2 linked regions of the Coturnix japonica genome follow. The protein of the gene in region 2 binds, or shares a complex with, the protein of the main gene of each other region. Links are inferred from orthologs where the notes say so. Each region holds a gene or a part of one and is shown on either strand. Other genes may lie near its edges.

Evidence for each region. The genes of interacting proteins can lie anywhere in the genome.
Region 1: the proteins of E2F1 (region 2) and CCNF are in contact, whole or in part, in a cryo-EM structure (PDB 9CB3), measured with the Homo sapiens proteins. The link is inferred for Coturnix japonica from reciprocal best matches to the Homo sapiens genes E2F1 and CCNF. Residues at the interface, in NP_005216.1 of Homo sapiens: Gly84, Arg85, Pro87, Val88, Lys89, Arg90, Arg91, Leu92, Asp93, Leu94, Glu95, Thr96; in NP_001752.2 of Homo sapiens: Met309, Ile312, Leu313, Asp315, Trp316, Glu319, Val320, Met323, Arg349, Leu352, Gln353, Trp379, Leu380, Thr381, Asp382, Thr384, Asp504, Tyr505, Val508, Leu510, Thr511.

The regions. Positions count from the first base shown.
Region 1 is NC_029529.1:12,341,347-12,345,537, reverse strand, and holds the start of CCNF (cyclin-F), read right to left. Parts: upstream 2,801-4,191; 5' UTR 2,622-2,800; coding exon 2,609-2,621; intron 1,364-2,608; coding exon 1,209-1,363; intron 951-1,208; coding exon 844-950; intron 9-843; coding exon 1-8. UniProt on the Homo sapiens protein: Substrate recognition component of a SCF (SKP1-CUL1-F-box protein) E3 ubiquitin-protein ligase complex which mediates the ubiquitination and subsequent proteasomal degradation of target proteins.
Region 2 is NC_029535.1:1,931,776-1,939,807, reverse strand, and holds E2F1 (transcription factor E2F1), read right to left. Parts: upstream 5,127-8,032; 5' UTR 5,112-5,126; coding exon 4,920-5,111; intron 4,652-4,919; coding exon 4,561-4,651; intron 4,300-4,560; coding exon 4,080-4,299; intron 3,939-4,079; coding exon 3,786-3,938; intron 3,639-3,785; coding exon 3,524-3,638; intron 3,438-3,523; coding exon 3,245-3,437; intron 2,675-3,244; coding exon 2,427-2,674; 3' UTR 1,516-2,426; downstream 1-1,515. UniProt on the Homo sapiens protein: Transcription activator that binds DNA cooperatively with DP proteins through the E2 recognition site, 5'-TTTC[CG]CGC-3' found in the promoter region of a number of genes whose products are involved in cell cycle regulation or in DNA replication.

The DNA.
Region 1 (4,191 bases), on a different chromosome or scaffold from region 2:
CAGCAGCCCTGAATGGGAACAGAGAAAATACTTCAGGATTAAATCAATAGGAGCTTCCACATCAGACAAGCTACTTGAGTGAAGGCCTGGCTGTGAGTTTGTTGTCCATCAACCACAAGCACAACTGACTTCACTACAGAAGTTACAAGTGAGTTACGATGAATGAAAATATTGCAGCAAGAAAAGCCACATCTGTGCCCAGGACCATCTGACAGCTCCAGGAATCGTTTCTCAGTCCCATGCAACATCTCCAGTGCAAGAAAGTAGGTTTAGGTACTTGCACACTCAGGGACGTGCCTGACAGATCTATTTTCAGACAATGCCTTTCTTCAAAAAGAAAATACATGCATCAGAGCAGACATGAAAGGAACAAAACAACTAGTATGACATTCATGTGAACCCATCTCCTTCAAATCAGGTGGATAAAAAGGCACTTTCCTTCTGCACATGCTTTAATATATTCAATTTCACTTATTTTTCAGTACATCGGTTTGAGCAAAACAACCAAGACTTAGAACTGTGGTCTTTCATCTCACTTGCTTGTTTATATGGAAGCACCAGTAACAGGATTTCAGTTCATGTGTTACATTCAAACAAGTAACAGTAATGCCCTTAGAGGAATAACTTCCACGTATGCCGTAGGCCCTGCTCCAATTAACACAGCAGCAGCTATTATTCACAGCTTAGACACAAAGCCAGCTACCCTCATCACTCCATACAGAGACTTGCACAAATAAGCACAGTCAGATTCACCACTTACAGTGAAGACTGATTAGAATTGTACATGTGGCACGAAACACTCTCCTCTACAACCTCAAAGGGATGCTGATGCTTAAAGCTCACCTTTCAAACACCGTCAGATTTTTTGGAGACGGCCATACGTCTTCAAAGCTTGCACATGCCCAAACACCGGCGTGATGATCCACGAGGTATTTCAGATGGGAATGCACCTACAAGGTATGAAGGGAAGCATCAAGTTATTATTAAAATAAAGGGATCAGCAAAAAAATAGTTGGTGATCTAATTTTAGATAGGCAACTAATTAATCACAGCTCATCATAACTCTCTTCCTAGGACAGCAAATATCTGTACACTGCATGTATTTTCTAGCTCTCCTCACAGCTCCTTGGATGTAGGCATTCCTCTGTGCACTTCTGGCTCCAGGGGCAGAACTAAGGCAGTGCGTGGCAGGAGGGGCCGGCACTCACTGCTCTGAGCAAGAGGATGTCCTCAGTGGGAAGGTCTTTCAGAACATGAAGGAGAACATCCTCAGGCAGACTCAGCAGCGTCAGGACTCGGGGCCGTTTTCTTATCTTTCGCTTGGAAGGGAAAGAGAAGCACCTGGAACAGCGGCAGTGAACCACTGCAGAACAAAAACAACACCACGGTTAGTGACAGAACAGCAAGAGGAAAAAGGCGCATACAGAATGTGTGTTTAATTAAGTAGAGTGCATCTTCAAGCACATCAACCATAGAAACTCAGCTTGCAGCACAGGACACTGGAGGACCAAACCATAAAGAAATGACTCGTTCAGTTCAGCCAATTCAAGGCAGGTGCCCAGAAGGGACGGCGCACCCCCATCACTGAGCACATCGCCCTGACCCCATCGTTTGGCTGCACTGAGCTCAGCTGTCACTGCTGCATTTCCATGTACCTCCCCCAGGCTACAACTTCTTATCAATTGATAACAGTCCTTGAAACGTGACCGGAGGGATTAGGAAGGTAAAGGCCCATTGAGCCACCCGAGTCCAAAGCCCATCGCTGTGGGCGGTGCTGCTGGCAGACCCCTCACAGCCAGTTCCATCATCTCACAGCGCACAGCACGGCCCTGCAGCAACGTTCGGGTTGAGAGCTCAGCCCCAGCACATCCGAGAGACGGGAATGAGCCGAGGGACGAGGGGGGGCCGGGAAGAACAGAGTAACGCGGGCAGGGACAGAACGGCCCGAGGCTCCCATCCGTTGTGCCGGCACAGGGCGATACCCGCCGCGAGCAGCCGGGTCCGCCGGCACCGGGAGCCACAAACACCGAGTCAATATAACCAACAAACAGCAGGAACCCAAACGATGAGCGGAACCGGCACGAAGCGCACGGACACAGCGGGGCGAGAGGCAACGGGCCGCGATGGGCGCCCAGCCACCGTCAGTCACCGTCAGTCACCGCTCCCACAGCACAGCGGGGCGCTCAGGGACGGGCCGGGCGGTTCGCGGGCGGCAAACAGCGCTGAGAGCGATCGGCAGCACGGGGACGGCCCGGGGCGCTTCCTACCGCTCACACAGCGCCCGGCACCGCTCACGGCCCCGCACGGAGCGGCACCGATAGAGCGGCACCGATAGAGCGGCACGGAGCGGCACCGATAGAGCGGCACCGATAGAGCGGCACCGATAGAGCGGCACGGAGCGGCACTGCCGCGTCTCGGGGCGAACCGCCGCCCCGCTGCGGCTCCCCCCGCCCCTCCATGTCCCTCCATGTCCCTCCATGTCCCTCCATGTCCCCGCCGCCCCCCCCCATCCCGCATCACCCCGCTCCTCCCGCACAGCGCTCACAGGAGCCGCGCGGACCGAAGGAACGCAGGCAGGGAGGCAGGAAGGCGCGCGGCCCGCACTCACCGCCCGCCTTCATCCTCGCGGACCGAACGCACCGACCCGGCACCCGAAGCGGCTCCGACCCAACTCAGCGGCCGTGAGGGGCGGCGATACCGCACGGGGCGGCGATTCCCGCACGAGGCCGCGCCCCCCCGGCTCAGCGCGGGGCCGGGAACCAGCGCGAGGCGCGGCCGCCCCCGCCCACACACACGGCGGGACCCGGCGCTGGCTCCGCCCACAGCGCGGGACGGACCCGCAGAGCCACGCCCACAGGGCGCGCGCAGCTCTTTTCAAACACAGCGCGGCTCCTGATTGGTCGGGAGGATGACGGGAGGTGGGACCCACCCCGCCCCGCGCGCCGCCATTGGACGGCGAGGATGCGAATTCGAACTGGGGCGGTTGGCGGGTCTGGAGCGCGGCGGGTACTGCGCATGCGTGAGGAGAGAGCGGCCTGCGGGCTGCCACCGCGCGGCGGGACCGGGCGGACATGGCGGGTGGGAGCGGGAGGGACCGGATACATCCGTGTGAGAACGGGGCTGCAGCGCTGACAGCTCCGTGTGCAACACAGTGTGCACTCAGTGTGTGCTCAATGTGCAACCCAGTGTGCAGCTCAGTGTGCAACACAATGTGCAACTCAGTGTGTAACCCAGTGTGCAACCCAGTGTGCAACTCACTGTGCAACCCAATGTGCAACTCAGTGTGCAGCCCAATGTGCAGCTCAGTGTGCAACACAATGTGCAACCCAATGTGCAGCTCAGTGTGTGCTCAATGTGCAACCCAGTGTGCAGCTCAGTGTGTGCTCAGTGTGCAGCCCAATGTGCAACTCAGTGTGCAACACAATGTGCAACTCAGTGTGCAACACAATGTGCAACCCAATGTGCAGCTCAGTGCAGCTCAGTGTGTAACTCAGTGTGCAACACAATGTGCAACACAATGTGCAACACAATGTGCATCTCAGTGTGCAACTCTGTGTGCAGCTCAGTGTGCAGCTCAGTGTCTGGGCCGGAGGGTTGCAGTGCTGCAGTGCGGACATGCCCGGCAGGACATGGAAAATGACAGAAAAATGAAGGAATATTGATCTTTTTGAACTGGGCAGTGCTGTGAGCTGAAGTGCTGATCACACTGTCAGCTTCTGTTCCTTGTTCTCCCCGTCGCAGCTGTTTCTGTCAACTAAAAATAAGTTGAACTAGAAAACAGAACGTGAATAATGAGCTCCCTGTGGAGAGTTAAATCCCATCAGGAGAAGCTCCTTGACCCACAGCTCCCCAGGTAGATCCTGTTCTTGGCAGCAGAGGTTGCAGACCATGGCGGGGATGAGCTGTATCACAACGCTGCTCTTCCAGTGCTTGATACTGAAAGTGCATTGCTCGTCTATTGGAACAGCAACGGGCCCGGCTCAATGTGGAATGAAGCTAATGACACCTGTAGATGTCACCTGCAGGGCTGGTAGCAGGTCTGTGAAGGATGAAGGACATGCAGTGCGATAAATTAGTCCAAATAATATTCTGTCTTTTCTGTGAAAGTGATGTTAATAGTGAAGATTTTCAGTGGCAATGAAATCCAGCCTGGTTTGTCCTTTCTGGAGACTGATGATGGAACATCCACAT
Region 2 (8,032 bases):
GGCAGCGGGCTCCTCAGTGTGAGCGGCCGGGGGTGGCCGCCGTGTCGCCGTGTGGGGGCGGTCGGGCCCGGCCGGTTCGTTATGGCCGCAGTGCGGTTCTAATTGACCCACGAGGCATCGAACGGCTCCGTGTGTCCCTCGGTATGTCCACAGTGTCGCAGTGAGGGCTCAGGGCAGCCTCAGTCATCCCAGTGTGGCGTCAATTGGCTCAGTATAACCACAGTGTGGGCCCAGCAAGGCCCCGGTGTAGGCCCCAGTAAGGCCCACAGTGCGGCCCCATTTACCACACAGCAGCTGTGGGGCCGCAGCCATGGACTGGGCACAGCTGGGACATCACCAGAGGATGAAGGAGCTGAGAAAGGCTGCAGGGCTCAGCAGGGACCCCCAGGAGGCTTCTTTTGGTGTGGGGTCCCTTGTGGGCCCTGCCCTGGTTACGGGTCCCCTCATGCACTGCTGGGCATGAGCTGCCTCCCACCCTGCGGGGCTGCAGATCAACATTCGCCGCATCCCTTGTGCTCGTCAGAAAGAAGAACTCCTACACGAGCTCTCAGCTCCTTCCCCAGCAATCCAGAATAGAATCGGGGAAGCCCTTCAGCTGCACTGTGACTCATCCCCGGGACACGGCAGTTATTTTTGCAGCACGGAGCGGTCGATGCACATGGGGACACGATCTGTGCCTGCTCTGCAAGAAGCAGGTACCCCAGGGCTCAGCTCCAGCTCTGGGTAAGAGCTATACTGCTGCTGTGGGTCAGCTGTTGCAGGACAAAGCAGTGCTGCCACCACACGCTGCAGCCAGCAAGAAGGCAGGCAGGATCCCTGCAGGCAGCCAACACAAGGAGGGGATAAATATTCGCTCTACATGTCCTATGTCCATCCAGGCTGGGGTTGATTTATCAGCAAACATCTCTGAACTTTCACAAGGGATTCCTGTATGTGCAACCTGCGGCCTTTCAGAGCTCAGCCAGCCCCCCCAGTGGCTGTTTGCTCTGTAAGCAGGAGAGGAGGATGCTCCATGGCCACCAGCTTCTCCAGAACCACCTCCACAGGGCAGAGGAGGGACCAGCACAGCCTCAGAGGTAAAGCAGCCCTCAAACCACACTCAGCTCATGGCTCAGCCCCAGGAGCCACGAGGACACTGTGCCTACCTCAGCAGGGCCACAAGGGGCACAGCCCCAAACTGAACTCCAAGCAGCTCTGAAGCCTGAGCAGGAACAGAGGGGTTATTATGCAACGCAGGCCAGAGTAAAATATTTATCAGAGTTTAAATAAGTAACACGCAGGAAGCCAGGCAGAAAGAAAGAGGAGTGACGGACAAAGAGGGGAAGGAAGTGGCTCATCCCTTATCACCACCAGGATGGGGCACAGCTGCCCTCAGCCCCACTCCAGGACTGTCCCCACTGTTCCTACCATGTGCCACTGTCTCACAAGGGCACTCCCTCATCTCCCAGCACCCACACTGGGATACCTGCCTGGTGCTGAGGCTGCTCACATCCCAGTTACAAAGTGAAGGCCACAGTCAGTAGAAACCTTTATTAAACACGAAGCTCAGCGGAACACAAGCTTGTTAAAGGCAGTAAGTGAAAGTGCGGCTCCAGCCTGGCCCCAGGGTCCCTCCATCCTCCCTTGGAGCCAGGGAGGAGGAAACAAACCCAAAACGCACTCAGCCTGAAGGGCTGCGCAGGAAATGAAAGAGAAAGCCTGGAGACAACATTTGGTCCTCACTGGGCCATGGGGGTCCACATATTCCCCATCCTCATAACATCCTGGGGACACCCCCAGCCCACCCCAACATTCTTCCCGCAGCCATCTGATGCCTGCAGCTCTGGGGCCAGCAATACCCTGCCGGGACCCTCCTCCTGTACCATCTCCCCCCCAGCACCCACTCCTGCTGTCCCGGGAGAGCCCCTCATGGCATAAATAATAAATAAATACCCCGCAGAGCTGGCCCCTCCCAGCACAAGGAAACCTCGCGGCACCCCCAGACCACCACATCCCCCACCCCCCCTTGACCCCTCCTGGGAAACTAAACGCTGTCCCCAAGGAACAATAATAAATTAATCCAATCTATACACAGGACTGCTTAAAGCTCTGCCACGGGCACCCTATGGCTGCCCGCAGTGGGTGGGGGGGCACCCAATGGGGACCCCTTGCTCCCCAGCATCCTCCTCTTGGGACAGGAGTAGGCCCCAATGTGGGCTCAAGCACCAAGCTGGGCTCTGTCCCATCATGGCACAGAGATGCCGGATAGGAGGGAAGAAAATATTGCAGAGGGGACGGATGGAGGGGGCCCAGGGCTGCTGCAGCACAGGGACCCCAGGAAGGCACCAGAGCCACACCAAGGCACAGGGCACCACGTGGCTGTCCTCAGCCCTGCCTGCGTCCCCCCCCTTGGCAGTGGGATAGCTTCTGAAATCAGGACAAGAGCCTCAGAAGTCCAAGTGCGTGAAGTCCCCAAAGTCACAGTCAAAGAGTTCACTGATGCCCTCACCCTCCTCCAGGCCGAAGTGGTAATCCTGTGCCTGTGGTGGTGACAGGGCAATGAACTCATCCGCCAGGAAGCCCGAGAAATCGTCCTTGGCCTGCTCCAGAAGGGTGTCCATGGAGGCCAGCGGTGACAGGCTCACATCCTCTGTGGAGCACTTGGAGGGCAGTGCTGTGCCTGGTAGCAGTGCTTCTGTGGGGACAGAGCGAGGCTGTCAGCCCCACAGCACACACCAGAACTGCTGTGTTCTAAGCTACTGAGGCCATGCAGATGGCACACAAAGCATCAGGAGTGATCAGAAACATCCAGGCCAACTGGGCAGCGTGACTCAGACCACTTGCTGAGTGGTGGGACAAAGAGGGACAGTGTCCTTTCCTAAGCAGAAAGATCCAGGGCTGTCTCTGCCAAGCTTGGGTAGGAGCAGAGCCCACAGCTGGGTGGATCACAGAATACCCCAATTTAAAAAGGACTCGCTCATAAGGATCATTGAGTCCAACTACTTGGCACTGCATGAGCATGGAGGTCAGGCTCCTCCTAACACACAGCCAAGACCTCAGCCCTGTAACCTCGTGCTCCTGGAACTGGAACAACAGTGATAACACTGTCCCCACACCACAGAGCCCAGGCAGTGCCCCCATTCCATTCCATTCCCATCCCATCCCATCCCATCCCATCCCATCCCATCCCATCCCATCCCATCCCATCCCATCCCTTCCCATCCCATTCCCATCCCATTCCCATCCCCATCCCCACCTTGCTCACCAGGCAGCAGCATGTTGACATCCTGAGCAGGATGCAGGAGCGGGGAGGCTCTCTGCTGCGATGAGCCAGGGGACAGCTCCTCAGCAGGTGCCTTGAAGGGGCTCTTGACGGGGCTGCAGACCCCTGAGCTGTCCTCGGGGCAGAGGAACACGTCGATGGGGCCCTGAGTGCTTTTCACTGAGACCTGGAAAGCCTGGGGACAGGAGGGACATGGAGTGCCAAGGTGGAGTTGTACCGAGGGCTGTGAAGATCCATGGGGAGGAGAGACCCCTCACTCACCTCTGCCGGGTCTGAGACTTGCAGCTGGGTCTCTGGGGGTGCCTTGATAACCATCACCATTTGCTCAGAGGGGTCCACAATGCTCCGAAGGTCCTGGCAGGTGACGTAGGCTGCGGTGCGGCGGGTCAAGGAGCAGACACGGGGCCACATTCACACCCAAAACCCCACACAGTGACCATAAGTGTCAGAGCAGGGGGGGGCTCCATTCCCCAACAGCTCTCCAGCCCATCCAGCCCCATCCCGGCCCCGCACCGAAGGATATTGCTGGTTGGAGGGATCCTCGGTGAGCAGCCGCAGCTGCACCGTGCACGTCTGGATGAGCTCGTCCAGCTGCCGTTCTGCCGCCTGCAGATCCCGCAGCTCCTTCTCCAGCAGCTGCTGTCGGCTTGAAGCCCCCGCGGCCACCTGGCTGCCCCTGGGGTACACAGGGCTGTCACCCCCAGCACTAACACCCCACTGCTGCCATCACCTCCCGATCTCAGGGTGGAACCCAACCTCCCTCCCTCCACCCAACCCTGGCAGCTTCGGTGTTATCCCCCCACCCTGATGGACATACATCCACTGGATGTGGTTCTTGGACTTCTTGCGGATGAGCTGGATGCCCTCCAGGACATTGGTGATGTCGTAGATGCGCCTCTTCTGCACCTTCAGCACCTCGGCCGCCCAGTTGAGATCCACCACACCATCGGGGGATTGGCTGAGCAGCTCCAGGAAGCGCTTGGTGGTGAGGTTCAGTGAGGTTTCATAGCGGGATTTCTCCCCAGGAGACTTTGCCCCTGTTGGGGACAGGTGCAAGATTCAGCCGTGGGGCGCGGGGCAGCCCCAGCACCGCCACACCCGGCAGGTGAGCAGCACCCGGCAGCTGCTGGCAATGGGAAGCTCGGGGGATGGTGCTGCAGGGCCCCGAGACTGAGCCCTGACAGCGAGCAGCCGGGCAGGGCCCAGCGCTCTACGGGGACGGCAGGTGGCAGAGGGGAAGAGGGAGGTGACGAGGCCCATCCCGAAGGGCTCAGGCCGGCAGCACAGCGGGGCCGTACCTCTGCCGGGGATGCGGGCCCTGCCGCGGGCGGCGGGCAGGCTGTCGGCGATGTACTGGTGATCCGTCTCCAAGTTCAGCTTCCGCTTCACCTGCGGGACAGGGCGTCCTCAGCGCGGGGACGCGGAACGCACCGCGGCGGCAGGGCCGGGCCCCGGCCTGTGGGGGCAGCCCCGCGCAACGGCGCTGCCGGGCGGAAGGCGGCCTCGGCGGCGGCTTCCGGAGCGGCGGTGCCCCGCGCGGCCGGGCTCTGACGGGGGGGGGGGGGGGGGTCCCGCGTGGGCACCGCGACGTCCCGGCCCCGCCCGGCGGCCCGCTCAGCCCCGCTCAGCCCCGCTCCCTCCCCCGTCCCGCGGTTACCGGCGGGCGGCCCAGCGTGGGGCGGCGCGGCGCGGGGCCGGGCTGGGAGGGCTGCGGCGTGGCGAAGAGCAGGAGGTCGGCGTCGGGGCGGCAGCCGCCCGCGGGCTCCTCGGAGGCCGAGACGATGAGGAGGTGCGGGGAGGAGCCGCCCAGCAGCGCCGCCAGCCCCGCCGCGCCGCCCGCCGTAGCCATGGCTCAGGTGACGGGCGGCGCGGGGCGCGGGGCCGCGGCCGGGGCGGGGGCGCGGCCCATTGCCGGGCGCGGGGCCGATCCGCGGGGCCGTTCCCCAGGTCGTTCCGGGCCGTTCCGGGTTGTACCGGGCCGTGCCGGGCCGTGCCGGGCTGTGCCGGGCTGTCCCGCGCTCCGGCCCCGCGCGCCTTTGCGCGCCAAATCCTTTTTGCCGCGAAAGCGGCGCCAACCTCCCCGCGCCCGCCCATTGGCTGCGCCCAACGCCGAGCGCTGAGGCGGGGGTGCGGGGAAACCGTCTGATTGGTCGAGGTCGCCGGAGGGAGGGGCGGTGCCGGCCGCCCATTGGTTAAGGGCGGCGGCGGCGGACGCGCTGACAGGCGGCCAATCAGAACCGCCGAGCTGAGGCAGGAGCCAATCGGGAGGCGTCTCGGGGACGCGGCCGTGGCGCCGCGTGGGTGAGGAGCGCGGCCGGGCCTTAAAGGGGCCGAGGGCGGCGCGGAGCTGGTCCCGCGTGGGGTCACTCACAGACGGGTCTGAGCGCCGGGCGCTCCCTGCACTGCTGGGCTAGAGCTGCCCGTGACGCTGTGCGGGCTGCGGGGCTGAGCTGCGTGTCCGTGGCGGTGCGGGCGGTGCAGGGCAGGGCAGCCCATAGTCAAAGCCGCGGGACGTGGCGTGGGCGGCTCCCGCCGTCTGTATCCCGTGTGCGGGGCGCTGATAACCTCAATGTGCCTCCAACGGAGCCCAACCCACAGGGACATAAACACCCCCCCATCTCGGTACTGCGGGGCCGGAGTTGGAGCTGCGGCCGCAGCGGGGCTCAGCGGGACGGCCGGGTTAGCGCTGGGTGCGGGCGGTGCCTCACAGCGGGGATGTAGTGAACGCTGAGCGGTGTTTTGCTGCTCGTTCTTCCTGTGGCTGCGGAGCCCACGGCCCAGCCCTGCAGCACAGCACCGAACGGCAGCACCGCTCCGCTTGGCGGCGGTGAGCGCTGTTAATTAACGCTCGGCCCTTGCGATAACCCGCACCCCGGTCACGGCGATATCCCCGTTAGCGAGTGGTACGAGCAGCAGTTACACGCCAGATGCGGCCCGTTGGTGCCGCCCCGCCCGGACACACGGTCCCACCCGCCCCGGCTGCGGGGCCGTTCCGGGGCCGCGGGCTGTGAGCGGCAGCTGCGGCACCAGCTGCTCCCACCGCGCTCACAAAGGCCGGGGCAGCTGGGGGCAGCACGGGTTTGTTTTATTCCCCCCTCCCTCATTCATACGGCAGTTTATGCAGGGGGAGCGGGCTCCCCCCCCCAACCTCCCCCGTGCCAATTCGCCGAGGCTTTCAGCTCTTGTGGCACTTGAAAAGGGCAGATGCAAAGACAAATGAAAGGCAAAACAGTCACTGCGACAAATGCTGAGGGGGGAAAGGGGGCTTTTCCCCACCCGCGGATGAATCCCACCTGGCACAGCTGCGGGTGGTGATAAGCTGCCAATGGGTGCTGAGCCCTGATAGCTGCCAGTGCTGCACTGCATCTCCTGCTGGGCTGGGGGGGGTCAGAGGGCTCTGCAAGCTGCAGGCTTGGCCAACGTTATCCCTTTGTGGGCATGATTATGGACAGCCTGTGGGTCTCTAAGGCCACGCACGGTCATCTGCTGGTGGTGGGAGCACACAGGGGAGCTGGGAGGATGCAAATCTGGACTCAAACCATCCCTGCTCTGACCTCAGGGAGGGTTTGATCACAGCACTGCCCCTGGGTTCCTGCTGGGACACATTCAGCATCCCAGACTGCTGCTTTGGATTCCTACAGAGGGACCCGACCCCACATCGTTGTCCTGCCTTCTTTCAGGTTGGAACGGCGTTTTGGGTGTTTTTCCACATGGGAGATGGCACAAGTGGATCCTGCTTCCCAAGAGTTAGGAATCCTTCCTTTCGTTGTATTACTATACAGAACGCTACAGTAGCAATTTTGCCCCCAGGATACCAGCTATGGCCTTGGATGCTGAACAGAGCAAGTTCAGCTCCTTTACTTCCTTCTCTTTTACAGTGGTATCCAATGTTGAAACTCAGTATCAACCTGCGGTCCCAGGGTGAGGGCAGCAGGGCCATGGAAGCTGCTCGCCCCCCGAACCAAGACAGCCTTGTGAAGCCCCTGTGAGCCAGAGAAGTCACTGCCTGCCTCCCAAATGAGCTGCTGAACGCTGCTCCATCCCACCAGGCTCTCAGGCTGCCTTCAGCCCAGTGTGCTGGCTTACAAGGGGAGAATAGGGCAGGATGTCTTCTGCAGAGAGCCAGAGCCATCCAGGAGCATGGCTGGGGAAGAACATCTTCTGTGCTTTAAGCTTCGTACAGCACTGGGCTTGGACTCACTGTGACTTGGACTCTGTGACTTCACCCAGCCTGAGCTCACTTCCCAGCAGGTGCACAGCGCAGCCATTGGCACCGCAAAGCCAGAGGGTGGGTGAGGCACCAGCTCAGAGCTTCACCTGGAATTATGGCTTGGTACGATATGAAAGGAAAAACAAACATTGGAAGATAAGGCTGCAATCAGCCCACAGGTGTCAGTCTGGCTTCTCCCAGCCCTGGGCAGCCAGCTCTATGCTGGGGCTGCTCAGTGCTCCCATCCCCAAGGGGCTCCCACAGCTCCCCATGCCATGGGGATCTTCTTGCTCAGGGCTTTATCTCCATTACCACAGCTCTTACCTCTACCACGTATCTCCTCTGTGTAACTCAGCTCTGAAGCAGCACTCAGATCATTTGCATGTGTACTTCTGTTCCTTAGCTAATGGGAGAGATGCACGTGGGGCTCGTGTCCTCTTGAACAGTCGCACGCTCACTGAGAGCACCTGCACGTGCTAATGATAGGCTGCAAGACACCAACAAGCAGTTTGCCCTGTAACCACATCAGCCCACATTGACTGCAATGCAAGAGCCAGCCG